Tamandua tetradactyla: one gene and its partners. The protein of the gene in region 1 purifies or fractionates together with the protein of each later gene. This does not show direct contact. Links are inferred from orthologs where the notes say so. Each region holds a gene or a part of one and is shown in the gene's direction. Other genes may lie near its edges.

Region 1 (10,559 bases):
GGGAGGGTGGTGACTTTGCTTGTCATGTTGGCTGAGAGGCCACATCTGAGCAACAAAAGAGGTTCTCCTTGGGGTGACTCTTAGACCTAATTTTAAGTAGGCTTAGCCTATCCTTTGTGGGATTAAGTTTCATATGAACAGACCCCCAGATTGTGGGCTCCGCCTATTGCTTTGGTTTTCCCCACTGCTTGTGAGAATAACAAGAACTTGGGGAAGTTGAGTTTTCCCCCCTTTTCACCATTTCCCAAGGGGGGTTTGCAAATACTTTTTTGTTCACTGTTCAAATCACTCTGGACAAACCTACAAAATCTCATGCCCTACTCAAGGTTCTATGTACTTATGATGTTCAATTAAGCTGTCCACATAAGTTATATTATGAAATGCACTAGTCAAAATATAAATTTTGAACCAAATAAACATTTTTTGCTTTAGTCTCACAGTAAGTTGAAGTTTCAAAATATTAATTACCATATTTTTTCAACACCCTGCAGTATTGTCATTCCTTTGTTTTTCCTCATGCAAAAACATTTTCAAATTTGTACATTTAGTCTCTACTATTATACACTCTAGGCATTCCTAGATTATACCATCTCAGTCTTTATTGTCTATCTTTCCTTCTGATTTCATTTGTGCCCCCAGCCCTCCTCCTCCTATCATTCTCACATTCAGGGAAGAGGCATTTTTTAAAAAGAGAAAAAAGACTCTTAAGAGTTCACCCAACAGGCATCAGGTGGGATGTGGCAGGTAGAACCAGAGACAGACCAAATCCCTCCGTCTATGATTCTTATCTATGCAAATCAAAAGCTACCATACAACTAAAGAGGTCCAAGACATTCAGTCAACAAAGTAGGGGGAAAATCAAAAGCTGGTGAGAGGTGAAAACAAAGAGCCCCATTAGGCTTTTGGAGGCAGTCTTCAAGAGTCTTCAGAGGAATACCCAGCTCTTTATCCAGTCAGAGAAGCTGAACAAGTGTACTTCAGGCAAAAGGAGCGGCACTGTCAAGGGCAAGTAAACCGAAAAGCACATACAGCTAAGCTGGAAGGCTCACGCCGCTGGGTGAGCAAAGTCGCTTGGCAAGGCCCGCTCGACAGGGCATGGCATTCAGGCCCACAGATCCACTTACTGGACACCTTTCCAGAACAACTTCGAAAACCCACAAATGGTCCGTCCCGAAGCACATGGGGTCCCCATCCCCAGAGGGCAAAGGTCCGTTCGCGAGATAACTTACATCTTGGAGAGCTTGGACGCCGCGCCGCCTGTCACCTTGGCGACGCGCAGCTGGGACAGCTCCACCTTCAGGTCGTCCAACTGTTTCAGCAGCTCCTCCTTCTTCTTGCCGCGAAGATCCCGAGCCTTGATCTTGGCCTACGCACGAGAAACGGACGTGTGGGGTCAGATGTCCCGCGGGGAAGTCTTACCTACGAGCCATTCCTTCCCTTCCACCACAGCGGGAACAGTCCCAAGAGGGCGCGCGACTCCGCCAGAGCGCGCCGGGGGCCTGTCGAAACTCGGCGTCCCCGTGCCGCCAAGCCTGATACAAGGCCGAGCCGCTACCCCCATTCGGCTGACGAGAAGGCTGAAGCCCAGGTGAGCGCGCGTGTGCTTCTCTCTCGGATTCCGTCCCGCAGGGGGAGAAAACGGGAGGCCGGCTGGTGGCGATACTGGGCAGCTCCGCGCGGCGCCCCACAGGCCCAGCCAGCAGAGGGGATCCCGGGGCTCAGCCCCCACCCGCCACTTCAGCCCCGGAGCCTCAGGACGTGCGGATGGCGCCCGATGGCCAAGCCCTCACCATCGCTGCAGACGCCGCCGCCGCCGCCGCCGCCGCTGCCGCTCGCCGGGAGAGAAAGAGGGAGGGGCGTGGGCGACCTCTACAACTACTGCCGGGTGGCAGCGGCGCGGCCAATGATGTCGCGTGGGGGGAGCCCCGGTCCCGCCCCTTCCTCTCCTTCCGTTCCGTTCCCCATTTTCCTCCGATCAGGCTTGAGAGGCCAAAGAAGTCGGCCTTATTCCTTGAGCCGCGCAGTTGGGAAAACGGAAGTTTAGGGTGCGGGGTGGTTTACTGGAAATGGCATAGCACCGACTCGAATTTGTCTATTCAGTCATTCGGTAAACTTTTTCAGGTCGTTGGGTCCGTGCTGCTGTGAGCGAGGCGCCGGCGGTTTGGGGCTGCAGAAGGATGAGGGGTGAGGGTTTTCAAAGATGGCTTCCTCATTCCTCCCCTGCTTTGGACCGCGAGGTGGGAGGGCAGGGGCGGGTCAGACAGCTACAATGTATTCCAACTGCATAAACGTTCTAATGGAGGCTGCATGCGGCGGTGAAAGAACATTCATGGTTAAAAAAAAAGAAACAAAACAACCAAGTTTGAAATACTTGCTCTTGTTGCCAGATACTGGCAGCGACCCTATGCATGTCCCTTCCTCTCTCTTGGAGTCTCAGTTTTCTCACCTGTGAAATGGGTTGTTTATGAGGATTAGAGATGATACGTGCAAAGTTCTTAAACACAAGGGCCTGATGCATAATGATCGCTCAGAATATCGGTATTGTGTGCGTAATGGGGGATTCGTATACATATGTATGTATATCATTAGTATTAATGTTTCCAGGCCAACGGACAACTTGATTTGGGCCCTGGAACTTATAAAGTATTTACAAAATAGGGAAGAACCTCAGGCCTCCTGCCTGGGAAGTTCCATTGCTACCCCACCCAGTAAGCATCAGTCAGTGCTCCACTGTCGCTCCGGTGCTCTAACAAAGACACAGATCTTTCAGAGGTTTGGTTGAGGCCTCCCTGTTGCTATCAGGCTCCTCCAAGGAGCCTTCCCTTTTCTGGTCTGGATAGCAACCTCCTCTGCTCATACTCCCTTTAGCTTATACTGAGATGATGTGTTTATGTGCCTGTCTCCACATTCAACCTGGAAGTTCCCTGGTGGAAGAACCATGATTAACACCTATTTGGCATTTTTAGTCTTTAGGCACAGTACTTGGATAATGTTGGATAGAATGAATGAATGAGCCTTACCTCAGACCACAGCACCTAGGCAAGCTTCCAGAAAGTGGAAGGAAATAGGGAAGAGAGGTCAGACAGGACAATCTTGGCATGGATTAATCTTAAATCAAAGTCTAATGGTGCACAGGGGCTTTGCTGTCATACTTTCCAAACGCTCATACTCCACTACGGCTATTGGCTGTGTATACCTTTTCTAGGTTTGAGGTCATCTGTGATTCCTGTTTCTCTAAAACCACATTCAAACCATCAGCAAATTCTGCTGGCACTACCTTCAGAATACATCTCACCCCCTTCCCACCACCCTCATAGGCCTGTTCTAACCTGATCTACCATGCCTGTTATGTGGACACTGTGGTAACCTCCTAAATTGCCTCCCTACTTTGGCCATCTCTCCCATATGTGTTTTATTTTATTTTTTAAAGCATTTTTTCATTGTGAAATATACCATATATGCATTAAAGAAAGAGATTTCAAGATACCTTTTAACAAATAGTTATAGAACAAACTTCAAAGTATAGTATGGGTTACAGTTCCACAATTTCAGGTATTTCCTTCTAGCTTTCAAGATACATTTTAACAAATACTTATAGACACACTTCAAAGTATGGTATGGGTTACAGTTCCATAATTTCAGGTATTTCCTTCTAGCTGCTCTAATACACTGGAGACTAAAAAGAAATTTTAGTATAATGACTAGGTAGTCATACTCATTTGTTAAATCCTATCTTCTCTTTTACAACTCTTCTCTTTCATTTGATCCTTCTCCCAAACTTTAGGGATATTTGGGCCATGACCATTCGAACTTCTTCATGTTGAGAAGGGGTGTTGATATTATGGAATGGGGGATGCAACTGATTAACGTTCTTGGAGAGACTGGTACTTCTGGGTTTTAGGACTTCTCTGGCATGGGAACAATCTGAAAGTTTTAGGTTTCTGAAAAATAAACTTAGTGTGTGAAACGATCAGAGTCTCAGATGGATCCCTGGGTATTCTCTAGGGTTTTCAGGAATACTGTTGGTTGGGCCTTGCATACCTTGGCAATTTGCAGCCTCTAGCTGAACCTTGCATTACAGTAACCCCCAGAATAGCCTGCACTCTATTTGAAATCTCTTAGCCACTGTAACCTTATTTTGTTACATTTCTTTTCCCCGTTTTGGTCAAAAAGGCATTGTCAATCTCACAATGCCAGGGCCATGTCCTACACTGAGGAGTTATATCCCATGTTGCCAGGGAGACTTACACCCCTGAAAGTCCCATCCCATGTGGTGGGTGGGTGGGTGCATTAAGAGTTCATTTGCAGATTTGGGCTTAGGGAGCCCTGATGTGTTTTAAACACAACTGTTAGAGACCCTTTTCAAACTCAAGCCAGATCATAACTCTGCTCAGCACTTACAGGGCTGACTACTTCCTTTCCTTGGCCTGCAAAGCCCTTTATCATCTGTCCCCTCCATCCTATCTCACTCTTTTGCTCCAGCATACTCCAGCATACATCCTTGCTGTTTTTGGAATACACCAAGCTTGCCTTGCTTCTAAGCCTTTGCTTGGCTCCTCCCTCAGGTTCAGTGTCACCTCCTCAGGAACAGCTTTGACCACCTTTTCTAAGTTAAACTACTGAGCACAGTGTGATTTTTTTTTCCTTTAGTACTTAGTCATCCATTAGAGTATAAGTGGATTTTTAATTTGTGACTAGCATGGAAGTTCACAATCTGGAGAAAGGACATTGTTTTGTTCACCAGTTTATTTGGGCACTATTTTCCATGTAAAGTGGGCAGTCCTGATTTAAAATCCTGTCTGACCAGGCTGTTCCTTGGAGTATGAATTTTTCCTCTCTTGGCCTCCCTGGGATCACAAACGATTTCTTCCCACCTATAGAGCTGAAATGAAATGCCACTGTTTTTTTTTCGGTCTGTTTTCCCAGGACTCCTGATAACTTTTATTCAGCACCTATTTCCCACGGGGGGGGGGGGGGAGGGGGCAGTCTATCTTTAGTATCCAAGATTAGACAGCATCATAGTCTGGCAATACTTTTTTGATTTGTTGTTCAGTTCAGTGAGAAATATCCAAAGCAATAATAAAGATTCACATTTCATTTACTGGCCTTTATTAAAAAGAATACTGTTATATGAAAAAAAAGACCCAATTCAGCCTAAGTCTAAGACGGTTTAACGAAATCCCTCAAGCGAAAGCCCAAGCACTTAATCTTGGTACTTTGGGGCACTCCTAGACTCTGTCCTGACCCCTCGATTTCCCCCATCACAGATTCTGCGCATTTTATTACCCATAAAGAAATGTCTCTCTAAGCCCCACTCCTTTAACCCTTTGGCCCTTACTCTTCCTGTCAGGATGGTGGCCTTAGGGTCATCGTCCTCTCCTGACCGTCACACATGCATGGTCGCCGCACCCCCAGGGCGAAATATCTTCAGCGTCTTGTCAGTCCCCTGGATACACGGTCTTTAAGTCTTCCCATTGATTTGGGCGGGCCACGGTGGCTCAGTAGGCAGAGCAATCGCCTGCCATACCGGAGACCCGGGTTCCACTCCTGGTGCCTACCTATGCAAAAAAAAAACCAAAAACCTTCCCACTCATTTAATAACGGGATCATTTGTGCATAAGGCCTACAAGGCAGAAGCTGTCGTCTCTGTGCTCAACGTGGTGGGGTCAAAACCCTTAGACTCCCCCTTTCCCCCTCCCCCCCGGAGTATGAAAAGTCCTATTCATTCGTCAGGGCTCGGGTGGAAGATTTCTTTTCTTAGAAGCCGAACAAGCATTCGACAGGCAGGACGGGCGCCATCCCCTGTGGGCCTCGTGTCCCTTCGGTTCGGGTAGAGTTCACCCGGGATATCTGCGGCTGTGTCGGTGCCGGCACCCCCCAAGGCCAGGAGGAAGCCGGAGAACGCACACAATTAAGGCATACAAGATACCAGGCCTGCAATGGGAAGGTGAGTCCACTCCCGCGATGGGCAGACAGGTTCTATGAAGATCAAAGTATGGCGTCAAAGAAACCACCTAGGCGAGTGCCCGATTTTTCCGACCGGGGGAAACCGGAATCCCACCAGCTTTCATCCCGCCCAGCCATAGGTGCTTCCGGTTCCGGCGTAAGGCGGAAATGGGCGGGTGGAGGCTGCGCGCGGAGGTGGTGGGGGCGGTCCCAGCGGCCGCTTCCCGCCCCCCGAGTCGGAGCCGGAGCCGGAGCGGGAGTCGGAGACCGAGCATAGCTGAGTGGAGGTCCCCGCCAGAGTCGAGGTGGTTGGGCGGGCGCCGAGCCCCCCGCCATGGCCCGGAACACGCTGTCCTCGCGCTTCCGCCGAGTGGATATAGACGAGTTTGACGAGAACAAATTCGTGGACGAGCAAGAGGAGGCGGCGGCGGCGGCGGCCGAGCCAGGCCCGGACCCAAGCGAAGTGGACGGGCTCCTGCGGCAATATCCTTCCCCGGTGCGGCGGCCTGGCCTTCACGCTCCTCTCGGTTGGGCTAATTGGCTCGGCCATCCTGTTTGCCTCATCCCGGGCTCCAACCCTTCAGGCCGAGCCTCCCCACTCTCTTAGCTTCGGTCCCCTCTGACCGAAGTGTCCAACTCTTTTCCGATACGACTCCACTGAAGCTCCTTTTCCCCAGTTTTCTCATCCCCGGCACAGCTTTCCTCAGACCGGTTCTCCTCTCCACCCCTTATCCCAGGCCCCGGCGCCTCCCTGTACTGCAGCGCAGCCCTTCTCGGGCCCTACTCCTTGGTGAACGGGCTGGCTCACTCGACGGCCCCTGTAGCATGCCCACCTCGGACGTCCCTCACTCCTTAACCCGGCCTCTTCTCATTTCTCCCCCTTGTCTCCTTTCCCCATCCCCCATCCCCAGGTTGTCCCTTCTTTGAGCGCCTGATCACTCCATCTTCTCGCAGGAAACGGGGCCATTCACGGGCTTAGTCGGCGGGAGGGGCTGAGGTGAGCCACTCCTGAGTAATCGAGTGGCCAGGGCGGTCCCGGGCATAGCCCTCTCCTGGCTTTCTTGGATCCGATTGCAGCACAGCGTGAGAAAAGGTGGGTGGTTGGCTGCGGGGGAAAAAAGGACTCATGAAGTAATGAAGGCCTTAGTCGAGCCCTGAGGTCTGAGTGTGTGCACTTCACACCCCAGGATCAATCTGAACCTCCAGCCTAATGCTACTCATTCTCACCTATTGTCAGTTCTCTTGAACACCTTGGGCTTTGAACTCTGATGGTCTCATCTATGCTCAATAAGGAAGTTTGGCTTCCTCAATAGCCTTTTTGTGTATGTTGTGCGGGACGCAGCAGAAAAAACGAGTATCTTAGAGCTAAGAAAAACCAGAGGGGGTAAAGTAAAATGTAAAAGTAGAGCTACTTGACTGGAAATGACTATTCTTGTGGCCACGGGAAACATGCATTTGGAAAACAAGATTAAAAATAGAGGTGGTTGTTACAGCCTACTTGGTACCTTAGCAGTTTGAGCACAGGAAACTGACTTATTCTCACAGGAAGTATTTTTCTTTATTCAAATTGTTTTACAGGAAGTGCCCTCCCTTCCCCCTGCACTTGCCTGGCAAGGTTGGAGACTCAGGCAGTATATAAATCAGGGTCTTCGTGTTTTATCAGTTGACTCAGCTTGCACTCATAGACTGTCTTTGGGAGGAGCCCCACCAGGTTTCTCCAGTGTGCCTTTAAAACGAAAACCTTGTTTGAACAGGAATGTGGTTTTAGAGATGGGAATTCAAGTTTGTAATTGCTGTTTCAACAAGATCACCTTGCTTACCCCACTAGCAAAATGGGGTCATAGGAAGAGTCCCCAGGAGGGAAGGTTAATTCTGTAGCCTGGTGGAGGACCTAGCTTTTGGGCAGGCAGTGATGATTGGCTGTAGGGCCTGTGGCTCAGTACCCTGATTCCACAGATGGGGAGACCAAGGCCTAGTTAACTGCTACATTGGTCTTGTTGCTGCAGGAACATCTCTTTCTATGTCCATGATTGGTGATAAGTCCCTAGAAGATGCTTGGAGGCTTAGGCTTTAGCACATCTGGGTATGGTAGTTTCTTCAGTAATGACAATGTCAGAAACCTTGTTACTGGAGCATGTACCTCTGGGGATTAGGGGAAAGTGAGGTTAGTAGATGAAAACTGAAATCCACGCAAGTGGGGAACCCAGGGAAGAAGAAAGAAAGAACGAGTATTTATTGAACCCCTACCATGTGCCCAGGTATTGGACTTATATTAGGTCATTTAATTTAAACTGTAGAACAGGTTTCTAGGAGTCTTAGGACAGAGCAGAATGAAGTAAGCAGAAGGACTGTTTGGGGTAGGGGAAGGTGACAAGGGGTCTTGTCCTAAGGCTGCTATATTGGGAAGCATGCCATGATGGGAAATCACACAGATGAAGTACAAAGAGCATGGACTTTGCATCCACATAGATCCAGTCCTGTCATGCTCTGTATGGCCTTGGGTGGGTCACATGCCCTTTCTGAACCTGAGCACCCCCCTCAGTTAAATGGAGGTGAACATGCTGGCCTCTTGGAATCTGTGGGCCTGTCATGGAACAACACCCAGAAGGGTCCAGCACAGTGCTTCGCACACAGCAAGTGTCCATCCCAGACATAGTTGAGTGTGTCACTGTTGTGGTAGCATGGGGTTGGAAAGAACTTAGCTTTCGAGTCATGCAAGCATGGGTTTGTAGGCCAGCTGAATAGCTAAGCTTTGTGACCTCCAGCAGATCATTTCCCTTTCTCTGAGCATCAGCTTCGTTGACTTTAAAGTGGAAATAATGATCCTTGTTAGCAGTAGTTGACATGTGAAGCCCTGGCATCGGATCTGAGATCTTTTAGGAGTTTTAAAGTATTAATTCCTTTTTCTCCTTATTGAAACAGGTTCCTGTCTTCTTGAGCCAGAGATCTGTCTAGAGTAGTGGTTTTGAGTGATTTTGCACTACTCCCTTCTCCCCTAGGGAGAGTATTCAGCCTACAATTTACCTGCGAAGCCTCTGGAGCCCTGCTTATTGTTTTGGGGACCCCAAATTAGAAAAGGTTGTGAGATAGTTATAGTGGCTGATTTTAGGTTGGCCCTTGTTAGGCTAGGGAGAAGGAATTCCAAAGCTGAAAGATAAAGGGGGCTAGCTGCTGCTCCAGCATGGAAGTTGGGTCAGAGCCACACTGGGAGCAGGGGATTGGGGGAGGCTCTCCTGGTGGCATAATCCCAGCTCAGTCAAGATGGAGCCCACACTAGAGAAAACTGAGGCTTTGTCATTTTGCACATGGGCATCACTGCATGAACAGGAGTAGAGACCCGACGGGGCAGAAGCCATTCCTTGTTCTATTTTTGAAGCTTTTTGGCTGAAGCCAGTGCATCAGATGAGGAAATGAAAGTCGGCTGATGTAATTCAGTTTAAAATAGGTGTCACCTTTAAGGACCTAACCCAGATTGTAATTTTCTCCTGAGTGCTGGCTATTCAGAATTCAGCAGAGTAGTGGCAGGATTGCAGCTAAGGTTTGAGGGAGAATTGGCCCATTTTGTTGGTGAGAAGTTCTTAAGATCAATAAAGCCTTTGCTGGTAGCAGTTTGTGTCCTCATATACCTGGGTTGGTATTAGAAGATGAGAATGAAAGTTTTAGTATATCTTAATTTACTTAATAATCTAACAAAAAAGCATTGGATTAAGAGTTAGGAGACTCTTCTTTGTGCCTTTTTTTTCTTTCCATTTTTAGCATAAAAATGAGCATGCTTTGCTAATGCTTTGCAGTGAATGAGTGTCAAAATGTGCTTTGAGTGGGAAGGTTTAGGAGAAGGCAGAAAGAGCGATTTCTAGGCTTGGCACAGGTGCCCTCCACTCTCCTTGTGGCTCAGAGAAGCTATAGCCTGCCCTAAGTAGGCTGTGCCCAGCTGGAAGCCAAGGCAGTGGAAGGTGGGTGGAAGTGGATAATCAGAAGATCCCATTTGATTCTGTTCTCTTGGGGTGCTTTTGAAATGAGTTCATTAATGAAAACATGAACATTGCTTGAGCCTAACCATCCTTAACTGGTGGTGATGCACAGGGGACATGCTTCGGGCGTTTCATGCAGCTTTGCGGAATTCCCCTGTCAACACCAAGAATCAAGCTGTGAAGGTAAAGGTGGTCATGCTGCGGCTCTGCTGGGTTTTGGGACCAGGGCTCTGGTTGCCCATCTCCCCAGCTGGAGCTCCCTGGGGCTCCGGACAGTGTCTGTTTCATCTCTGCATCAGTGAGTATGTGCCAAGGGAGTGAGTTAGCACTGGGCACTACTTCCATGGAAGACTCCTGGCACTGACCAGAAGTTAAGGCTCCTCCGACATCAGAGCTATTAGTGCTTAAAGTAAAAGCTTCCCAAAGAAACTCCTTCCAGGGCTTCATGGGGTGAGAAGTAAATCCAGTACTTGCTGATTAGCAAAACAGATAAATTAGCTTGCCATGTGGGATTTCTCAGTGGTTATGCTTTTATAGGCTATGGCTAGGCTTTATATACATAAGGATTTTAAGTGCTTTTAAATTTTTTCTGGCTTTTAAAAATTAGGCAAGAAGTTAAGTTGTACTTACTGTATCATTGAA
Region 2 (10,348 bases), on another chromosome or scaffold:
TACCTTCTCCACTACCAATTCCATATTCCCTTTACCCACAGCAAGCACTTTGGCTGGCTGTGGTTCTTTGCCTGGTGGGTATAAGGCTAATCCTCCTGGCCCCATGAAATAAGGGACCCTTAGCAAACATTCCAAGAACCACCACCACCACCACCTTTAACTTCCAGGAGGCCCCTTACAAAACCAAACCTGCCCCTGCTCAGGTGGCAGAGCCATGATTATCCTTGCATCCACCCTCCGGCAGCTGCATTCCTGCAACAGTGCCTCTTATCCAACCTCCACCCTCGGGCTGTTACAGCCAGGCAGCTATAAGCTTGCAATAATTCCCCTGCATAGACTGCCAATTTCCTGCTCTCAAGCTAGCCAAAGAAAATGTACCACCTCCTACCCCCACCAACCATCTTAAATAAGCTGTACCCCTCCTCCTGCTCAGATAGTACTAAGAGATGCCCTAAGGGATCTCCTGTATTTCAGGCCAACTCTGTACTTCCATTGTGCAGTAGCAGTCCTATTTCCCCTTGATAGTCAGGATCAATCACCCCAGCCAGTACAGTAATGCTCTTCTTTGCCTGCTGATTCAGAGGCATGAAAGCCCAAGGCAGCCAGGTGGCAGTCTTAACTTCCAGTTCAATTAAATCATGTTTCTCCTGGGGGAAACTCTCCTTCTCTTGGTACAAAGAACTGTAGACTAGCAGAGTTTAAAGTTGCAGGGACAGGAAGCAAAAAAATTTTCTAGTGGCTCACCAGGTGTAAGTGGTGCCACTCCCATTTCCACCCCTTGATTCCTGGACCCATGAATCCTGATTATAGGAGAAACAGCATCAGAGAGTGGACGCTGATTTAGAGCATACACAGCCTCCTGGAGAATACTGCCCCAGCCCTGCAAGGTATTACCACCTAGTTGTGCCATAATTGAGTCTTCAAAAGGCCATTCTAGTTCAGTGACAGTGGTTCCCACAGTAATAAAAGACAACTACAGAGCTCTTCAGAGAGATGGAGTTAGTCTCACAAATTAATTCCTCACAGTCCTGGTAAAAGGTGTGTCCTCTGGACATTCCTAGGGTGGGTGAGCAGATCTTCCACGATAAATCCACTCTAACATTCCAATCTCTCTAAGCGTTTGGGTTTCCTTATGTACCTTGTACCAGGGCAGTTCTGGCAATTTGATCGAAAGTAATGTCAGCCACCTTTTGATCCAAGTTTCAGCCAACCACCCAAACAAACTGTTAAAGCCCTTTCTTATCCCTTGAGCTACAACACTGAATCCAGAATCTCTGCTTAGTGGGCCCACATCAATAAATTCAGCCTGATCCAACTTTATATTCCTTCTACCATCATGCCACATCCTTAATATCCATTCCCACAAATATTCCCTGATTTCTGTCTATATAAATTGGAAAACTCACGCAGTTCTTTTGGAGTAGAGTATATCTCCTCATGGGTCACACTTTGTACATCACTTTTGGGGGCTTATTGGGACTTTAATCTAGTTATAGGTCTTGAAGGAAAGAGGGGTAGACGGGGGTGGGTCAAGAAAGGAATTAGAAGTGTCTTTCAAGCCAATTACCTCAGAGTATTCTTTTGCAGTTTCAACTGGTGAAACAAGGATTAATCACTCCAGACAGAGGACTGAGGGCTGTTTCCTTAAGAGTGGTAGTTATGGATTTATCAGGAACTGTATGGTTTATATCTCTCCAGGTGGGGGCTGGATGGCAGATTCCTCAGAGCAGACTGGAAGCTGTTTCCTCAAGGCAGGCTGGCGGTCCAGTGGCTGTCCCCTCAAGGCAGACCACTACAGGTTTTTCTAGCAAAGACTCATCAGAATCTAGGGTTTCAACGTCTCCACTGCCATCATTATCAACCCATATGTCCCCATTCCAATTTTCAGGATCCCATTGATTTCCAATTAATGCCTTTAATTAAACAGCAGACACCCTGCAAAACTGGGAATTTAGTTTACACTAACTCTGCCACTCCCGCAGTGAGATTCTAGGCCTGGTTTTCAGAACTCTCAAATCTGCAGCTACAGGAAATAAGATTTTCTTTCAGGACACACATAGATACTTGCATATCTTTCCTGCAGTGCATGAGTTGCAAATTTGAAAACTTCAGTTCATCACTTTCATTTGTAATTGTATCCAATGTATTTAGGAACAAACAGTCAACATCACGATACCTTTTAACTCCACAAAACTCTGTTAAGGTGTCAAAGACACTTTCATCCAGAGCCTTGCCTCTTCTAAGCACATGCGTAGCCGTATTCAGTGGTGATATTTTGTGTATCTCTATTGTTAATTCATGTCATGGATGGTCAGTGCTTTACTGATTACCGGAAATATAGTCATGAGTGCCTGTGAATCTAAACAGAGTAAAGAACCAATTACAAAGACCCAGAACCAATTTTAAAAGCCCATTTTTTAAATTCTGCTTCTCAATGACTGCCCCACTTCTGGTATCAAAGCTGTATTAATTAAGGGTTCTCTAGGGAACCAGAACCAACAGAGATATCTATAAATATGCAATTTTATATAAGTGTCTTACACAGGCGTGGGGATGCATGGGTCCAAATTCCATAGGGCAGGCTATAAGCTGGTAACCCCAATGAAGGTTTTCGATGAATTCCCCAGGAGAAGCCAGCTGGCTAAAGTGCAGATGAAAATTCTCTCTGCTGACTACTGAAGTTAGCACTTCTCCTTTTAAAGCTTCAACCGGTTGGATAAAATATTTCTCACTGCTGAAGAAATTCTTAGTTGATTGTAAATGTAGTTAGCCATAAATGCAATCAAGTTACTAATGTTTTAAGTCCACAAAATGTCCTCTCTGTAACAAGCCAGTGTTTTCTTGAACAGACAACTGGGTATCATAACCTGGCCAAGGTGACATATAAACCTAAACATTACAAGCCTTAAAACCATGAGCTAATATATTGTATGGTATTTGTAAGAGCAGCTTTGACAAACTAAGACACCAAGCCTCCACAGATTAAAGATGATCATACAATAAGCAGCTGCCTGTTAGAGCAAATATCAACACTCCTTAGAGGAAGATAACAGAATTCAGAGCCTCAACAATGGATCATTCACAATATCCAATATACACAATAACAAATTATTAGACTTACAAAGAAGCATGGTAAAAAAAAAGCAACCAATAAAAAAAGACTCTCTGAGATAACTCAGACAAACGTCATTTAAAGATAAGAACAGTCTTATGAAACTTAATCCCACAAAGGATAGGTCAAGCCTACTCAAAATTAGGCCTAAGAGTCACCCCCAAGAGAACCTCTTTTGTTGCTTAGATGTGGCTTCTCTCTCTATCCAACACAACAAACTCACTGCTCTCCCCCTGTCTACATGGGACATGACTCCCAGAAGTGTGGACCTTCCTGGCAACACAGGACAGAAATCGTAGAATGAGCTGAGACTCAGCATCAAGGGATTGAGAAAATCTTCTCGACCAAAAGGGAGAAGAGCGAAATGAGACAAATAAAGTGTCAATGGCTGAGAGATTCCAAACAGAGTCAAGAGGTTATTCTGGAGGTTATTCTTAAGCATTAAGTAGCTATCACCTTGTTATTCAAGATGTAGTGGAGAGGCTGGAGGGAACTGCCTGAAAACATGGAGTTATGTTGCAGTTGCCATGTTTCTTAAAGATGATTGTATAATGATATAGCTTTCACAATGTGACTGTGTGATTGTGAATACCTTGTGTATGATGCTTCTTTTATCTACCTTATCAACAGACAAGTAAAACATATGGAATAAAAATAAATAATAGGGGGAACAAATGTTAAAATAAACAGATTGAAATGTTAGTGATCAATGAAAGGGAGGGGTAAGGGGTACGGTATGTATAATTTTTTTCTGTTGTCTTTTTGTTTTTCTGATTTGATACAAATGTTCTAAGAAATGATCATGAGGATGAATATGCAATTATGTGATGATATTGTGAATTACTGATTATATACATAGAACAGAATGATTACATGTCAAGAACGTTTTTTTCTTTCTTGTCATATTTTTTTAAAAATTTAAAAATTAATTTAAAAAAATTTTTAAAAAAAGATAAAAACAGTAAAGTAGCTATTATAAATCTGTAAAGGACTTAAAGGAAAACATGGTCATAACTAGGACCTTCCAAGTCTGAGGTACTGTGAATTTTCTTATATTTAAAATTGTTCATGAAGTGGTCTTACGCTAGTCTAAGTTTCCTAAAGACAGTGGGATTTTAGTCAACTCTTCTGTACAGTCCATGAAGTGTTTAACACAATACTTGGCATTATTTATTATTTAATGAGTGAATACTCATTAACTATTTGATGAATCTTAACCAAATTCCAATTCAATCCAACACCGAAAAAACCAATAGGGCAAACAAAATTATCACATAGCAGTGTCTAATGCCTCTCTTTCTCCCACCTCTTACTGCCTTTCTTGCTACTAATTTTTTAAAAGGCAGAGGCTTCCTTTTGGATAATAAATCAGTGTTATTAAAAACTGTACAAATCTAAAAAACATTAAAAATAACTCATACTCCTAGGAACTCCAATGGTTTCTCTACCAGGGCATAATGGGGTTCAATAGGTGTCAGGAGGCCAGTCCACTTTCTCAGTTAAAGAATAAAGTGGTTAAATCTATAAAGGCCCTTTTAAAGCTACCATCTACAAAAATGCATCAAGTGGTAACTGTTCAGGCAGTAACCTCTGTTGAGGCTACAATGCAAAATGGTGATTTAAAAGATAGAACCAAAGATTAATATTAAATGTGTCTGTCATTTTTCTAGGCCTAACATTTCTTGTTATTATCATAAAGAGTCTGTTTTTGTTCATTTGTATGTTATTCTTCTCTCCTAGATTATAAACTCCTAAAAAGAAGAAATTGTCCTTTGTAAGAAGGTGGAATCTAGTTAGAACATTGTTGATACTTGACTGTGGGTACCAACTCAACATAATCGTGGACCAGTTTAGGTAACTTGCAGGCACATGATGAATGAATCCGTGTTTCCCATGAATGCCATCTTTCCTTTGCTAATATGGTGATCGCCTCTCGAAGGGGTGATTAATCTTAAAATCTTTCTACTCTGTCCTCGATTCCCCTATGACCAAAGACTTTGTAGCCATAGGACAACGTAAAACCAATGACTTCCAGTTCATTAGTGGTACATGAACAGCCGGACTAACTAACCCAACGAACCTAATAGTGTGGTTCTGAAATAGGGAGCTCAACAAATTTCCTTTTTGTAAACATCACCTCACCATCAAGCGTGGGGTCAAACATGAAAACCACCAGTGAGAAGGCAATAAGCACTTAGCAACCTTTAGCGGCACAGAGGACAGGAGTGCTGCTCCAGAACTTTCAGGGCTTCAAGGGCGGCATCTTTTTGCACCAGGATTATTTCTCAGAAGCTGCAGCTGCACGGCAAGCACAGTCTTCCCACGTTTTGGGGAGGAGGTTGGTGGTGCTTAGTTCCTCAGACTTCTCTTTCCTTTGGTATCATCTTGGACTTCCAATCACAAACAGCAAGTGATTCTGACCAAGGAAGGGCTGAGTTTTTAAAGCTCCGGGCAGAGGGCCTCAGAGGCTTTCCAAGAGGGAACAAGGCGGAGGCGGCGACCCCTGGCCCAGCGAGGCCAGAGGGACCTGGAGCACACAAGCGCCGCAGGGAGCCGAGCACAGGTCCACTGGCCTTGACTGGAGTTGGGGTGGGGTGGGGGGGCGGTCTCCGAAAGAAGAAAAACGTATTCGTTCGTCAGGCACACATGGTTCGAAAAACTCCAATTCTCAGTTAATTCCTGTGTTCGACAAAAGCACTTGGGAAGCCCCCAAGGTTCCACATCTCGGCTTGCGAGTCTGAGAAAATCTTCCGCGAGGAGTAAAAGCGCCCAGCTGTCTCGCTGCCACCTCCAGGCGGTGCTGTGGCGCCGCTCCTCGGCAGCCGCCTACCCCAACGCCGGAACGCTCAACCGAGCTGTGCGCGTGCGCAGACCGCCCGTTTGGCCGCGGTGCGCAGGCGCTGTGGCCGTTTCCGGGATCTGTCAGCCGCTCCCTCCCGGCCTCGGTCTCCGCCCGCGCGCGCCGGAGCCTGTTCGCGTCGACTGACCAGAGTCCGCGAATTTTCCGCTCCGCGGCCGTCCAGACTACCCCGACCTCAGGTAAAGGGCAGGGGGGCGAGCTTCTGGCGCTGTTGGCCACCTCTGCTCGGTCTGTCCACGGGGATTTAGCCCAGGGGGCGGCGAGGCGGGGACTTGGGCCGCTGGGCCCGGAGGCTGAGGGGCGGGTTGGGTCCCCGTTCCCGGGCCTGCTGAGGGGGCCACGGGGGTTCCCCACTTTTCCGTGGGGTCCTCACAAGAACAGATCGCTTCTCTCAAGAATTTCGAGCGCCAAGCCTCTTCCAGTGAAAGAATTAACAGCTCTTTAACCTGCGCGCCCAGGGCCCTGTTCACACCTCGATTGTGAGCATATATCACAGTCTGTATAAAACTGATAATAAGTGGGATGATCTTCCCCTAATCGAGTGCCATGTCTTTCTCCAAAGTCTAGAATAGGTTCTTACACACAGTGGAGCCCATGGAATGAATGTTTGACTCCTCTCTAGGGCAGACCTCATTCTTCAGTTTTGGGGGAATCCCCGAACTCGAGAAAAATCTTCCCTTTGAGTTCCTTAAAATTCCCCGTCTCCCTCAAATCACAAGTGCACCCGCCTCTGAGATCTTTTATAAGATAACATCTTTCACGTTTCTACCCTATAGTCGATCTCCAATCCTGGCATCGTCGCTGTTTAGGGGGTGACCCTGGGAAGAGGGCTTCTTTGCGTCTCTGTTAGTTCATCTGCAATAGGACAGTCATTACGGTAACCTACAGTCATTACGATAACCGTTTCTTAGGGTTTTTCTGAGGAGCTTATGAGTTTATTTGCATGAATTGCCAAAATAGTTTGCCGCCCAGGGTAGGTGCTCAGTAAATGTAGTAGTATTGCTGCTTCTTTGTGTTGTGTACATGTCCATCTTCCCTTCCTCTCTTGCCTGTCCTCTCTCCCCAGACATAAGAACCAGAAAGGTGTCAGTTTTAATTATGTTTCTGGCCCCATCCCTCTACATATTGCATTGCTGGGGACCTGTAAAGCACTTAATCAATCGTAGCTTAGAATTTTTTATTACAAAGCCATCCGTTCTCACACTGTGGCTTTGGAACGTGACGGACATGCTTAACTTACTTCTACCTCTACTTATTGCCTGAATTACCTAAGTTATCTTCCTTCTGCCCTCCTTTATTAATTTTATCCACCTTTTAGTTTCAGATGAGCCCTAAGTCTTCCCGGTTATCTTAAAAAAAAAAAAAAAAAAAAGGAGAGGATATCAGTCAAGAGGGTATTTTTGACCTTTTAGGAAGTGGGTGTAATTGTTCTGTGGCCTCCTACCACAAAGTTTTTTGAGACCCTCTGAGATTAATCATCTACTAGTCACAATTGAAGGAAGGGATCATCTTGAAAATTTTAAACTCCTGCTTTGGAGGGAGAGTGTCAGTATTTTCATCTTGGTCTAGCTATTTAATCCTATGCTGAAATAAGTTCTGTATCAAGAAGTTTCAGGTGGTCTGCTGGGGAGGCCAATGTCTGGAATTGGAGCCATAAAGGCTGGGAGGGTGTGGTAACCTGGTTGCAGTACCTGGTATTGCTGGATTGGGCAATTAAAGCAGGATGAATCAGTCTTGAAATCTGACCCCAAACAGGTCAACCGAAATTCCCAGTTGTATGAATACATTGAAGCTGCAGAGGAGCAAGGTCAAGAATTTAAAGCATACATAAACTTTTCCAATTCAGCTAACTGGCACATTCTTCTAAGGATGGTTCACAAGCTCTTAGGGTCAAAATGAAAAAAGAGCTAATTTACTGAGCATGTAATTTGGGCTAAGCTCAAAATAGTTGCTTTCGCATGTTATTTCTTTTACTCCTCCTACCAACAGCCTTGTTGTCAGCGATATCTCCATTTTACAGATTAAAACAATTAGATTTAGAGCTATTGAGTAAATTGCCCAGGGTCTCACATCTATTAGGTGTCAAAGCTAGGATTCTAACCCAGCTCCCCTTGGCTTCAGAGCTCATGGGTAACTGTACAATCAGAATGCCTCTGTACTCAAAGTGATGAGTAAAGAAAGGGGATGGGGGAGAATCCTGGAATCATGCTGTGCTGTATATTGTTTTTAATTCTCTCAGTGCTGGACAATGCAAGATAGTCAGTAAAAAACTTGTTATATTTAATGGCACTACTTTTTTGTCTACCCTTTTTTCTCCTCTCTAACCCCATTAAGACATAGGTTTTCAGATTTCACTTAAATATTAATCGCAGTTTAGAAGTTATAATTATCATTTTACTACAGATGGCTTCGTTTTCTTGGTACAAAATTCAGGCTGTTATTAAAAATGCATTTCTCTGCATTCACTGAATTTGGTGGCATACAAGCTGTTTTTACTAAGTTATAAATTTGACAAATATGAATATTGTCTGGCTGACAGACTTAAAATAGCCACATGATTGTAAAAGAAGGGCAGGTCTGAGTATATGTCCAAATATAGAACTTGAATGATATAACAAAATTAGAAATGCAATTTTAGAAGTAACTATGCCATTTAGAAGTAATGTTTGCCTTTTTGGAAGCCTTTGCTACATTGCTTATTAAGCTGAGTTGAAAAATGGAAAAGCTCTTCTTTTTTAACTGCATGAAACATGTTTTTATTGCATGTAGCTATTCATATTAAATTATTAATTCACAGACCAATTTGGTTTCACTTAACAAATGAGCCTATAAAATGTGGCTTTTGAACTAAATTGGTTTTAATTAAGGAGATATTTGTGACACAACATGTAATCTTGAATATCTATGAGTAAAACCTGTTGTGGTAAGCATCTGATATCAGAGATAAAGAATCATGCAGTGAGTAACTGGAAGTTCATTTTTTAAAACAATAAAAGTGGTCTCGTTTGAAATTCATTTGTTTATTTTAACTTTCTGTTAGGTCTTTTTCTTTATGAGTTACAATTTGCTTTCTAGAACAAAAAAAAAGAAAAAAAATTTAATGACCTAAACATAGAGTATATAGAATGTGAAATACTGGCATCTCTCTGCTAGTTCAAGATATCAGACGGCCTATTTCAGGCTACACTTACCTCTTATCTTTGGGTTCTTTTGCAATTGTCAGAGGAAGTTCGGCTTTCCACCTGGATTGAATTCTGCGTTGTCAACTGAGCTTTCATTGTTCCTGGCACAATTTTCTGGTGACCCTTCCATTCATTTCCTGTTTGCATCAGAATTCCTATCTCCAGTTTCGTTCTCCACCCTAGGTTAACAGGACTTGTCCTTGAGTGTATCCAAACTTCAGATTGTAGTGAGAGTGGCTCTCAGAAATGATGTTAGTGTGGGAGTGGGGGGGTCTTTTTTCTAAAACCTGAAAATCTTTCCCCTATTTCAGGTAATTGTTGCTTCTTTTCATTTAGTTACAATAAAAAATTTAAAAATCAGTATAACAGACACCTGTATACTCTGTGCCTAGATTCATCTATTGTAAACATTTTGCCAAATTTGTTCTCTGTATTTGTACTTTTTGTTCTGAACTATTGAAAAAAGCTACAGAAGATATTGTAAGTTACCCCTAAATACTTCATCATCTTTATCTCCTAAAAACTAGGATAATTCTTCTATTTAACTGCACTACCATTATTATACTTAAGGAAATTAAAAGAATTACATATTGTCATGTAATGTTTAGTTCAAATTCAAATTTTTCCTATTGTGTAAAAAATGTTGTTTATGGTTATTTTGTAAAATATAGATTATAATCAAGTTCATGCATCGAATTTGGCTTCCATGGCCCTCTTAATCTAGAACAGTTTACCCTTTTTCCCCCTTATATTGCTTTTTTAAAAATAATTCAGGCCAATTGTTTTTTACAGTGGCCCACATCCTAGCTTCATCTGTTTATTTCCTCTTTGTATTGTTCAGTTCATTCTTCACCCCTTTATTTCCTGTAAACTGCAGATTAGCTGAGGGTCTTGATTAGATTCAGAGTAATATGTTTGATATGAATACTTCATAGGTAAGTTGACAGTATACCCAGGTTTCTCACAGTTGTCATGCCTTACATCTGTTGTCCCAGCATAATTATTAAATAATGTCCCTTTTTGCTCTCAAAAATAATCTAGCCTGGATGATGAATTAGATGGCCACTATTTTTAAGTGATGTGTACATCATGTTTTCTCCCATTAGGGGCCCATCGTGCTAGATTGTTCTACTATTTCTGTTACAAAATTTGATCACTTTGTTGAGGTGGTGACTGCCAGATTTCTTCCATTGT
Region 3 (10,601 bases), on another chromosome or scaffold:
AAGGATAAATATCAAATGCAAGGTGATTACATTTGAGGAAGAAAGAAAGAAAATATGGAGGGAAAGAAATGGAATTGGGGTAGGCTTCACTGGAGGTTTCCACCGTATTTTTTTTTATTATTTTTTTATTTTATTTTTTTTTTTTTCAAAGAGGGAGGAAGGGAAGGAAAGACAGAGAGAAGGAAGGAAGGATGGAAGGAAGGAAGGGAGGAAGAAAGGGAAACATCTTTAAACATTTTCTTGTTTTATTGTATTTTGTTTGTTTGTTTGTTTTTTACATGGGCTGGGGCCGGGAATCGAACCGAGGTCCTCCGGCATAGCAGGCAAGCACTTTGCCCGCTGAGCCACCGCGGCCCGCCCCGTATTTTTTTTTAAGATCTGAATCAAATTTAATTGTCAAATGTAATCATAAAATGTTAATGGGTGGTGGGTACAAAGACATTTGTGGTATTAGTCATATGTTTAAACAAGCCAAAACAAAGTGAAAAAATGGGAAGCTTATGCAAGAGCCTTTGGCACTCTAGTTCCTTTTCCCTATTCCCAGCAGTCAAATGATTACCCCCTTTACTACCCTAACCCACTGTGCTGGTTTGAAAGGAAGTATGCCCCCTAAGAAAAGCCATGTTTTAATATAAATCCCATTTCTTAAAGGTAGAATAATCCCTATTCAATACTGTATATTTGAAACTGTAATGAGATCATTTCCCTGGTTGATGTGATTTAGTTAAGAATGGTTGTTAAACTGGATTAGGGATGACATGTCTCCACCCATTTGAGTGGGTCTTGATTAGTTTCTGAAGTCCTATAAAAGAGGAAACATTTTGGAGAATGAGAGATTCAGGAGAGATTCAGAGAGAGCAGAACGATGAAGTCATGAGATGCAGAGAGTCCATGAGCCAGCAACCTTTGGAGATGAAGAAGGAAAACGCCTCCTGGGGAGCTTCACGAAATAGGAAGCCAGGAGAGAAAGCTAGCAGATGACGCCGTGTTCGCCATGTGCCCTTCCAGCCGAGAGAGAAGCCCTGACTGTGTTTGCCAGGTGCCGTTTCACTTGAGAGAGAGGCCCTGAACTTCATCGGCCTTCTTGAACCAAGGTATCTTTCCCTGGATGCCTTAAGTTGGACATTTCTATAGACTTGTTTTGATTGGGACATTTTCTCGGCCTTAGAACTGTAAACTAGCAACTCATTAAATCACCCCTTTTAAAAGCCATTCCATTTCTGGTATATTGCATTCCGGCAGCTAGCAAACTAGAACACCCACCTTACCCCCAGCCCCCCTTCTCCATCTCCACCACCAGGGACTGATTTTCTATAGACTTTAGCCTAGTAGAAGGCAGAGGGGCGGCACAGGGTTAATGATAGGATTAAGTGGAGGTCAGCTGGGGACCCAAGCCTTCCCAGCTCCCTGCACACTCTGGGAACACCCACAGCCAAGTTCATAATCCCCAAACACACCTGAGAAATTATTCTCTGGAGAAAAGAGAATACTAAGATTTTGCAGGCCCAGCAAAATCTGGCACATCATCTGGTGCACCTTCCATGGTGAAGCTCATTAGTCCAGTGCTCTTCATAATCTAATATACATTCGAATCACCTAGTGATTTTATTAAAATACAGGTTCTAATTCAGAATGTTTTCATGGGGCCTAAAATTACATGTTTCCAATAAACTCCCAGATGATGCCAATGCTGCTGGTCCCTGGACCACACTGCTGAGTAGCAAGGAATTAGTCAACCAACCTTGCCCATAAGCTCAGAGCTGCAGTCAGGTTTTTAGGGTTTCATCCTTAAATATGAACAGACTGCTAAAGATAACCAGATATTTGAAGCTAGCTATTAACAATAAAGAGAGAGCCCAAACAAATTAGTATTAAAAGGGACTCAAAGAAATGGAGGCAGAGCAGAGTGCAGAAGAAAAACTAAACAAAACATGCAATAATATTCTCAGATATTATAAGACAATCCTGTCCATAAAAGAAGGCTCAAATAATGAGGGCAGGGGGTGGGGAGGAGACAGTCAGAGAACAAAAGATCTTGGAAATTAAAAATAAGAAAACTGAAATTTAAAATAGTTGAATATAATAACAAGGAAATAACCCAGAAAAATAGACCAACAAAACAAACCAAAAAGAAGAAAGAGAAAATCAAAGGATCTATCCACAAAGTCTGACATCCAAATAATATACATTCTAGAAAGAGAACAAAGAAAATAGGAAATTATCAAGGGAATAATTAAAGAAAATATCCCCCAGAACTGAAGTACATAAGTTCCATATTGAATGTGTGCTCAAAACAAAAGAATTAAGAGTCATAGCAAGGCACATCATTGTCAAATTTCCAATCAATAAGCTAAAGAGAAAATTCTAATGCTTCCAGAGACCAGGGAGACATAAAATACAAAGGATCAAGAATATGAAAAGTCATCAAACTTCTAAATTACAACAAATAAATAAATAACAACCCTGGAAGGCAGAAGAAAATGGAATAATACCTTCAGAATTACGAGGAAAATTACTTTCAAAATGAATTCAATATCCAACCCAACTACAAATCAACTGTTAGGTAGAAATAAAACAGTTTCAAATATACAAAGATTCCAATGACATAACCCCCATGTCCTCTTCTTAGGAAGCTACTAGATGAGGTGCTTCAGCAAAACAAGGGAGTAAATCAAGAACAAGGAAGACAGGACCTGGGAAACTGGCAAAACCAACCCAGAACAGCAATGAAGGAAAATCCCAGAATGACAATTGTGCAGCAAGCCTAGAGAGCAATCAATCCAAATAGAAACAAAAGCAAAGAAGGCTCTGGGACAAACAGTCTAGAGAAAAGTGGAACTTATGTATTTGAGTATATAGAAATACTATTGCTAGATTTTTTGAGTCTTAGAGCATTGTGGGGAAATGGGGGAGGCCAAGTATAAACATATAGGAAATCAAATGAGTGCGGGTAAAAAGGCAATAATTAACCCTAGGGAAAATGAAGAACTGCATAAGCTAAAAGGTATGTTTGTGCTACCGGACAAAGGCAGTGGATTCTTTGGCTCATTCAATGATCAATTCATGAGACACCAGGGTTTCAAAGAGAGAAAAGCTTATCACCAGGCACGTAGCAGGAGATCAGTTGCCCTATCGGCCCAAAATCTGTCTCCCTGAACTGCAGTAATTCTGATAGCTGTATAGATAAAAACAGACAGGCAGGGTTTAGGATAATGAGCACAGTGGTCCCAGATGATGTAATTAGAGGGATCTAATTATTGAGCACGCACAGATTGATTACATGCAATTACAGATTGATTACATGATCATATGTAAGAAAATGATGATCTTAATATGATGATGGGCATGATTTTTAGTATTATAATGAGGTCTAAGTGACTTGTAGTTTAAAGTCTGTTACTGCACGTTGTCAGGCAGGCCCATTTTGGTTAGATCCAGTCTCCGTAACCAAGATAACTTTGGAGTTGGGACGGGTCAGTTCTGGACTGACACAAGCCCTTTCATTAATAAATATTAGGGGCTGTCTTTGGCTATTATAAGACTCTGAAGTTGAAAAACTGGATAAATGGGTACAAATGAAGGTGAGTCACAAGGCTGAGGTTTCTGTTTGTTTTTTAGTCACAAGGTTTTTACAATCACAGGGGCAGAAGATAAAGGCTATACAATCATTATCAAGAGATCAAGGAAGCTGGATTACAATTTAGAGATTTCAGGTGTTTCCCTCTGACTGCTCCAAGATAACAGAAAGCAAAAAAAAGAATATATAACAATTCAGTAATCAAAATCATTCCATAAACCCTAATTTCTCAGTTACAGTTACAGTGCATTTCTTGGCTCATCAGTGATAAATATTTGCATACTAATAAATATTGATTATTGTTTAACCAAAAATTGTTACACAGTTATGTAGGGCTGGGATAGGGGAAGCGAAAGTAGTAGAGCCAAGTTACCTATTTGGTCAAAAGTCAACAGATAATGCTTAAAATTAACAAACCAAGAAATAGTGGTATAAACATTTATTCAGAAACGGAAAGGTAAATAGAATAAATATCTAAAAACCCTGAGGGTATTGCCTCTGAAGAGTGGGCCAGGAAATTGCTTTTATCATTGCAAGCCTTTTTAGTACTAAATGTATATGCTTTTAAACTGTGTATATGCATTATTTTAATACAATAAACATTAATGTTAAAACATTAGCATATAACATTTAATTTGGGGAGCTATGCAATTTCTGAAGTTTATCCACCGCAGTAAATAAAAAAACCGGTTCTAAATGGCTGTCTTTTTGATATGGGCTAGCTTTTTGGTTTTTGGATCCCTTCTCCCTACAGAGCACTTGGAAAATAAATTATTGCATGTAGTAGCACTCAATTAAGTTTATTAACTTCTTGGAGGAGGGAAAATACAAATCAAGTCACATGGGCAGAAAGTACAGCACAAAGATGAGTTCAGATCCCGCACACGAATGAGTATGAAACTGCTCGAGTATGAAACTGCTGGAGCAGAGATATAATAAGGTAAGGGGTTTCAAAGCCAGAGAAAACTACCCGGAGGAAGCTCCCGCAGGCACAGAAATGGAGGCAGGACAGGAATCTGGGGAGGCACATCTAACTCGCCTATTCACCAGGGTGACTTCCTGCTCCTTTCCTTCGTTGCCCTTTTAACAATTTATAATTATATATTTGAGTGGTTTTTGGCCAGTTTCTTTTACCAGACCCTGAGCTCCACAAGGGAAGGACCCCATCTATTTCGTTCACCACTGTATCTTCAGCACACAGCCAGAACCTTCTAAGTATCTGTGGGAGACAGGAATGCACTACGATGCCGCTGGGCAGTCTTTAACGTGGAATGAGGAAGGGACACAGAGAACGAACAAACCGGGAGAAAAGAAGCCGGATGGGAGATATCAGGAGCGATTTACTTTTGGGGTCTCTGAAAGGACAGGACCGGAAGGGGAGGCTGGACCTCTGGAACAAGCGGAACGGAGAATCTGAACACTGACGCAGGACCTGGGGAATGACAGGTAGGGGACAATCTTGAATCAACTGTGAACCGGCTTTGTAGGAAAACAGAGGCAGGGCGGCGGTAAGACGCCTGCGCACGCGCCGCCTCAGGCCACCTACCCCTCCCACCCCACCCCCGGCGTGCCTGCGTGCCTGCGTGCGCGTGCACGAGGAAGATCCGAGCGGAAATGGCGCCGCGGGGCCGCGCGTTCGGGCGGTGAGCGGAAGTGGGTGTGAGAGCGGAAGTGGCCGGCTAGAGCCGGGGGCTGGGCGGGGATCGGGCTTGTCGGTGAGGCGGCGGCGGCGGCTCGGCAGGCGGGTTCAGGCTTCGGGGGCCAGGTCTGTCGGGTGGGTGGTTGTCTCCACAGTGAGTGCGTGCGCGGGTTAGCGCGCGTGTCTTCCCCTTCCCCTTCCCCTGGTCCCTGTCCCCTTCTCCCGTACATCCTACCGCACCCAGCCCCTCTCCTCAGGGGGCAGCAGGGCCGCTCCCTCCGTCCTTTCCTCCCTTACCCACCCTTACCCGCCCTCGTTTCTCCTTCCCCTGCCCGGGGTAGCCGCCGCCATGATCCTGCTGGAGGTGAACAACCGCATCATCGAGGAGACGCTTGCGCTCAAGTTCGAGAACGCCGCCGCCGGGTGAGCGCATGGCTGGGGCCCTGGGGGTGGTGGAGGAGCAGAACCGACCCCTCGCCAGTCTCTGGTGTCGTCCAGCCTCCCCCAGACCTGAAGGAGAAGGATGGTGGTCTGGCAGGGTGGGGGGCCGCCCGGTAGACGTGGGAAGAGATTGGGCGCGGTGGGGTGAGGGGCAGAGATGCGTGGGGCGAAGCTCGGAGGAGGGATGCGGAAGCTGTGAGTGGTCAGGAGTGCGCCTGCCAAAGGGCAGAAGTCCTTTGGGGCGTGAGGGCAGTTGGGGTCGGAACTCTTCTTGGAGGATCCATTTGCCCTCTGAAGCAAGGAGGGGGTACCACCTCCCTCCGTCGTGCTGGTCATTGTTTTCTACGTCCGAAGAGAACCCTTTTGGTTTTGGAATTGGGTTGAAAGGAGTTTTCAGGGATTCCCAGAACTGGAGAAGAGAAGATGCATGCCCACATCACCGCCACCATTCTTGCTCCCTACCCCCACCGCCTCCTCCAAAGGTGTAGGAGAGAAGGTTGAAAGCATTTGCTTGCTTCACACCCATTCTCTCTCCCTAGTCAGATCCAGTCTTGCAACCGGAAAAACGCGATCTGTCTAGTTTCCCTTCCCCGACCCTATTGTGAGAAGAAACTGGCCATCTTGTTGCATATTTCTCAAGCAAAGCTAATAGCCCTTCAATCCACACCCCTTCTTTATCTGTCTTTGAAGTTCTCGTAGTCTTTATCAGGTTGTTTGTCTTATAAATTCTTATACAAGACCCTTGGTTTGTGATTTCTTCTGCGGTAATCCTGGCCCAGTCTAAAAAGTTCTTAGCCTTCTTTACTGTTGGCCTTTTTAAATATGGGCATAGAACGTATTTCCAAGACAGTCTTAGTCAAATACAAGAACCAATAGAAAAGAACCCCTCCTCCAAAGCTGCTTTGGTTTTCTAATATAAGCTTAGAAAAGTGGCCTGTGGCTAGTACTTTGCCTCATTTCCCCATTTGTGAAGCTGGGGTTTCACATTTTGGTTTTATAGTTGAGAAAATAATTGCAAACTGAGTCTGATGAACTGGGAACTAGAAATAGGAAAGTAAGTGCTTGGAGATCTACAAATGAAAGAGTATTGGCAGAGGGGAAATTCTAAGTAGTCATAGTGAACTTGTGGTTTCAAGGTAGTAAAAAAAATTAAAAGGGTACTTTTAACAGACTACTTAAATTGAAAATATAGTTTATTCTTTCTCCTTTGTAAGACACCAGATTTTATCTGTAAAACAAAGCATGACTTTCCTTGAAGTAACACATGCAGTGAGCATTACCATTTGATGCCAACGCCTGCAGTTGCTTATATTTTAGGTTAACTTCTTGTCTTTAGCCTCTTACCAATTCCTTTGCGTTTTAAATACTCAAGTGAATCAGCCCGAGGTTTTATTTTGGGCAATTGCTGTGTACTTTTTTGAGCACTGTAGCACATAGGAGGAAGTTGAGTTAACTTCTGCATTTTCTCAACCGATTTTAATGCATTTTCAAGTCTAGACTAGCAAAGAATGAAACTTGGCGGCTGCAAGATAAATGTCTGTGTATTTTCAAGTAGAGGCATGCCTTGTAATGTAGGAGTATGTTCACATCTACTTGGGTATTATTAACTTGTGATTACAGAATGTGACCCACTATTTGGACCTTCAACTTTCTTTTTCTTTTAGAAAATTGCTCTTAAAACTAGCAGCTAACCTCTTCAGAGGAAATAAAGCAGGCCCTTAAATCAAGAAATCATAAATTAGAACTTCCAGGACAATTGTTAGAAAGATACACATTGTAGGAAAGTTGGATGTGGGGGGTGGGCTAGTTTTGACTTTTATTCTGGTCCATCTTCTTTTTGAGATGTGACTTTAAATAAGTAGACTCAAAATCTATTCTGCTGAAAAACAGTTGAAAAGTGACCATGATACTAGGCCCAGTAGGTAGGGCTTTTCTGGGATTGCAAATATAACAACCAGCAGAAGCCTGCTTCCAAGTCAAGTTTGAGTTTCCAGGCACACCAGTAAGATGAGGTAGCAGGAAAGAAGTTAGATATTTTATTACAGCACATGCCTATGCCAGAACTTCCAGCAAAGGATGACTGGTGTGATGATCATAAACATGTATGGGATTCCGCCAATGTTCAGCACCAAGACAAGAGCAGAGAAAAGAGGGCTTTTTAAGAGACCTATTGGCAAGGTTATAGAGAAGCTGTTAACGTAGGGTTGGGTGGGAGATCAGAGAAATATTAAAGAGAAGCAGTGGCTTGGATTTGAAAGGCTTTGCCAGTATGCAAGCCTGCAAGGAGAGGTCAGCTCCAACCTGCTTTTACACTTCTCAGAGCAAACCAAATGAAGAAATGAGGGTTCAAAGCAACCTTTTCCAGAATGAATCTTCCAGCTCTGCGCTGTCCAGCACAATAGCCACTAGCTGCATGTGGCTATTTATGTTTATGTAAAACTTAATTAAAATTTAATTAAACTAAAAATTGAGTTCCTCAGTCATGCTAGCCACATTTCTGAAACTTGTGACTATTGAATCGGTCAATGCAGATGGTGAATATTTTCCTTATTGCGTAAAGTTCAGTTGAACAGTACTATTCCATCTACTGAAAATGTAAGCATGAGTTAGTCTTTAAAATAGTTCTGTGGTGTATATGTATATATACATGTAGAGTACAGTTGCTTTAATTTTCCTTTGGGGGTTGATATTTTTTAACGAAGACTCTCAGAACATCCTACTGGATCTTCTTGCCTTATGGTATCCTACTAAAAGTCTCAGTTTTCTTCTGGGTAAAGCAGGTCTGTCATCTAACCTGTTTAAGTGGATACATTTGGTCCTGATTAGCTTTTAATTTGGTAGCAGTTCACACAAAGGCTAAGATTCATTGCAAACAGATCGTATTTTATTTTTTTCCCACCACATACCTGGAAAAGTTGTTTATTGAAACAGTCCTTACACCCTCACAAAATGATAGTTATTGGTAAATTGTCTTTCTGACAACCTTCAAACTAAGAGGTTGCAACTGATTAAAAAACTGTACCCAACACTGCACGTAACCACATATTCAGGTCTTATCAACATCAGCGCCTTTTCATTTAGGAATTCTTACCCAGATCTCCAATTAAACCAGAAGTAATATGGCAGATTAATTTCTCTTGTTACATTATACGCGCCAAGAACCTTTTCAGCCTCAGAAGCTAGGCTTGGCTACTTAGCTAGAGTCTGGAGTCCACAATTGAGGAAATGCTGTCAGATGAGAATTGCTGTTGATTTTAAGTACATGGTGGCTCCTTGCCACAGCCTGTGCATATTGTGGGGAGCTTTGGTTCTCTGAGGGGGAGTGAAGCTCAGTAAGCAAGCAGTGCCAGTTGGGGTGGGCGAGGATGTGGGAGGAATTTGAGAAAGGAATAAATTAAATCTTGCTGCTACCTTGTTCTCATTCCCAAATATGCTGCATCTGTCCTCAGAGAGACAGACTGGTTTGAAATGATTTGGAATTAGGACATTGTTTAAGCTTTTAGAAGAAATGGGATGTAGTGGCTGGCTTGCTAAGGCGATCTGGATGGTCTTTTTACAGGTTGTTAACACACTGCTGCTTGTCTTCCAGCCTCCTTGGGACCAGTTTGGGGATGAAGCCCCAGAGCTACATTTCACCAAACTGACAGCTCCTTATGGAGTTTTGTTTTCCCAGTATCCTCAATTTATGTATGGGCAGTAAATGTTTCTGAAAGGAATGATCGAAGCCAGTGTCATGATTCCTGCTTTCTTTAAGAGATTATCACTTCTCTGACATTGTGTGAATCAGCTTTTAGTTCTTTTGTTCTCCATATTGTGATATATGACTTGGCAGAGATAGTAAGACTACCTCTTATCTAATGTCCATTTTTTGTACGCTTTGCTCAGGTAGAACGATGAAAGCTTTATATAGGATTTAAAGGAAAGTGATCAGAAACCTTTATAGTGAGAAGAATTCAGTAATACCTCTAATTCAACTCATGGAAGGGATAACGGAAGAGGGATAAATGCCCAAGTAAGGAGTTGGATCCTAGGATGCATTCAGGAGTAAAAAACGCCAAGATCCTTAGTGAAAAAAAAAGGCCTAGGTCATGCATTTGTCAAGAGTCCTTTATTGACTGACCAGTTCATTCCAGAAACTCGTTAAAAAGGAGGAGAAGAAAATTTTTTCTAGAAGATTTTAAGAATTCCTCTTGAAACCCATTTGAATGAATTGAATATCTTTTAGTGTTTTGGGCTATCCATTCAGTAACCCTGAGGATTTATCCAGCTGGCTTGTTCTAGGATTCTAGAGATTACAACAGTCTGACATTACTAAAGAGTTATCTATTTCTCCTTGTACTGCTAATCAATTCCTGGTTCTGGGAGTTACCATTATCCCAAAACCTCTCTCAACTACAACTTCAAAATCTGATTAGGAGAAAAAAACTAATTATTGATCACCTTCTGTGAACCAAGCATTATGCTATATACTTTAACATGGTTTCATTTAATTTCACAATGTTCCTGTGTAACAGTTCCCGTTTACAGTTGAGAAAACTAGGGCTTTGGTGGAGGGAGTAAACATTTAATGAGTAACTACTTTGTATGAAGCACTGTGCCGGCCACTCTTCACTTGTGATTCTTGCGGCCACTCTTCACTTGTGATTCTTGACCTTGTTTATGATACAACACACACAGAATGTGAAAATATTTGTATGGTACATTCTGACAAATGGCTAAGCCTAGAGACCCTGCCACTTAGCTGCTCTCAGGGCTCATCACAGCACATCTGTAATGAATTCAAGAAACACTGGTTGGCAAACTACTATACATATCTCACTTACTCTGCACAACCTTGTGAGGTAGGTATTTTTATCCCCAAGTGTAGTAGAGGAAACTGACTTTTGTTGACATTTGAGTAACATTGCCTGTGGTTATATACCCAGTAAGTGACAAAATTTGAGT

The links.
Region 2: the proteins of ARPC5L (region 1) and ARPC1A fractionate together in Homo sapiens (co-fractionation; 7 studies listed by BioGRID and IntAct, with this or other methods). This does not show direct contact. The link is inferred for Tamandua tetradactyla from reciprocal best matches to the Homo sapiens genes ARPC5L and ARPC1A.
Region 3: the proteins of ARPC5L (region 1) and ARPC2 fractionate together in Homo sapiens (co-fractionation; 7 studies listed by BioGRID and IntAct, with this or other methods). This does not show direct contact. The link is inferred for Tamandua tetradactyla from reciprocal best matches to the Homo sapiens genes ARPC5L and ARPC2.

The regions. Positions count from the first base shown.
Region 1 is NC_135328.1:46,983,057-46,993,615, forward strand, and holds the start of ARPC5L (actin-related protein 2/3 complex subunit 5-like protein), read left to right. Parts: upstream 1-6,126; 5' UTR 6,127-6,280; coding exon 6,281-6,429; coding exon of another isoform or gene 6,430-6,442; intron 6,443-10,027; coding exon 10,028-10,100; intron 10,101-10,559. Other genes in the region: RPL35 (large ribosomal subunit protein uL29), read right to left, coding at 1,230-1,366, 1,791-1,793. UniProt on the Homo sapiens protein: May function as component of the Arp2/3 complex which is involved in regulation of actin polymerization and together with an activating nucleation-promoting factor (NPF) mediates the formation of branched actin networks.
Region 2 is NC_135349.1:7,366,179-7,376,526, forward strand, and holds the start of ARPC1A (actin-related protein 2/3 complex subunit 1A), read left to right. Parts: upstream 1-6,014; 5' UTR 6,015-6,151; intron 6,152-10,348. UniProt on the Homo sapiens protein: Probably functions as a component of the Arp2/3 complex which is involved in regulation of actin polymerization and together with an activating nucleation-promoting factor (NPF) mediates the formation of branched actin networks.
Region 3 is NC_135329.1:193,701,700-193,712,300, forward strand, and holds the start of ARPC2 (actin-related protein 2/3 complex subunit 2), read left to right. Parts: upstream 1-4,794; 5' UTR 4,795-5,016; coding exon 5,017-5,023; intron 5,024-5,156; exon of another isoform or gene 5,157-5,557; coding exon 5,558-5,639; exon of another isoform or gene 5,640-5,642; intron 5,643-10,601. UniProt on the Homo sapiens protein: Actin-binding component of the Arp2/3 complex, a multiprotein complex that mediates actin polymerization upon stimulation by nucleation-promoting factor (NPF).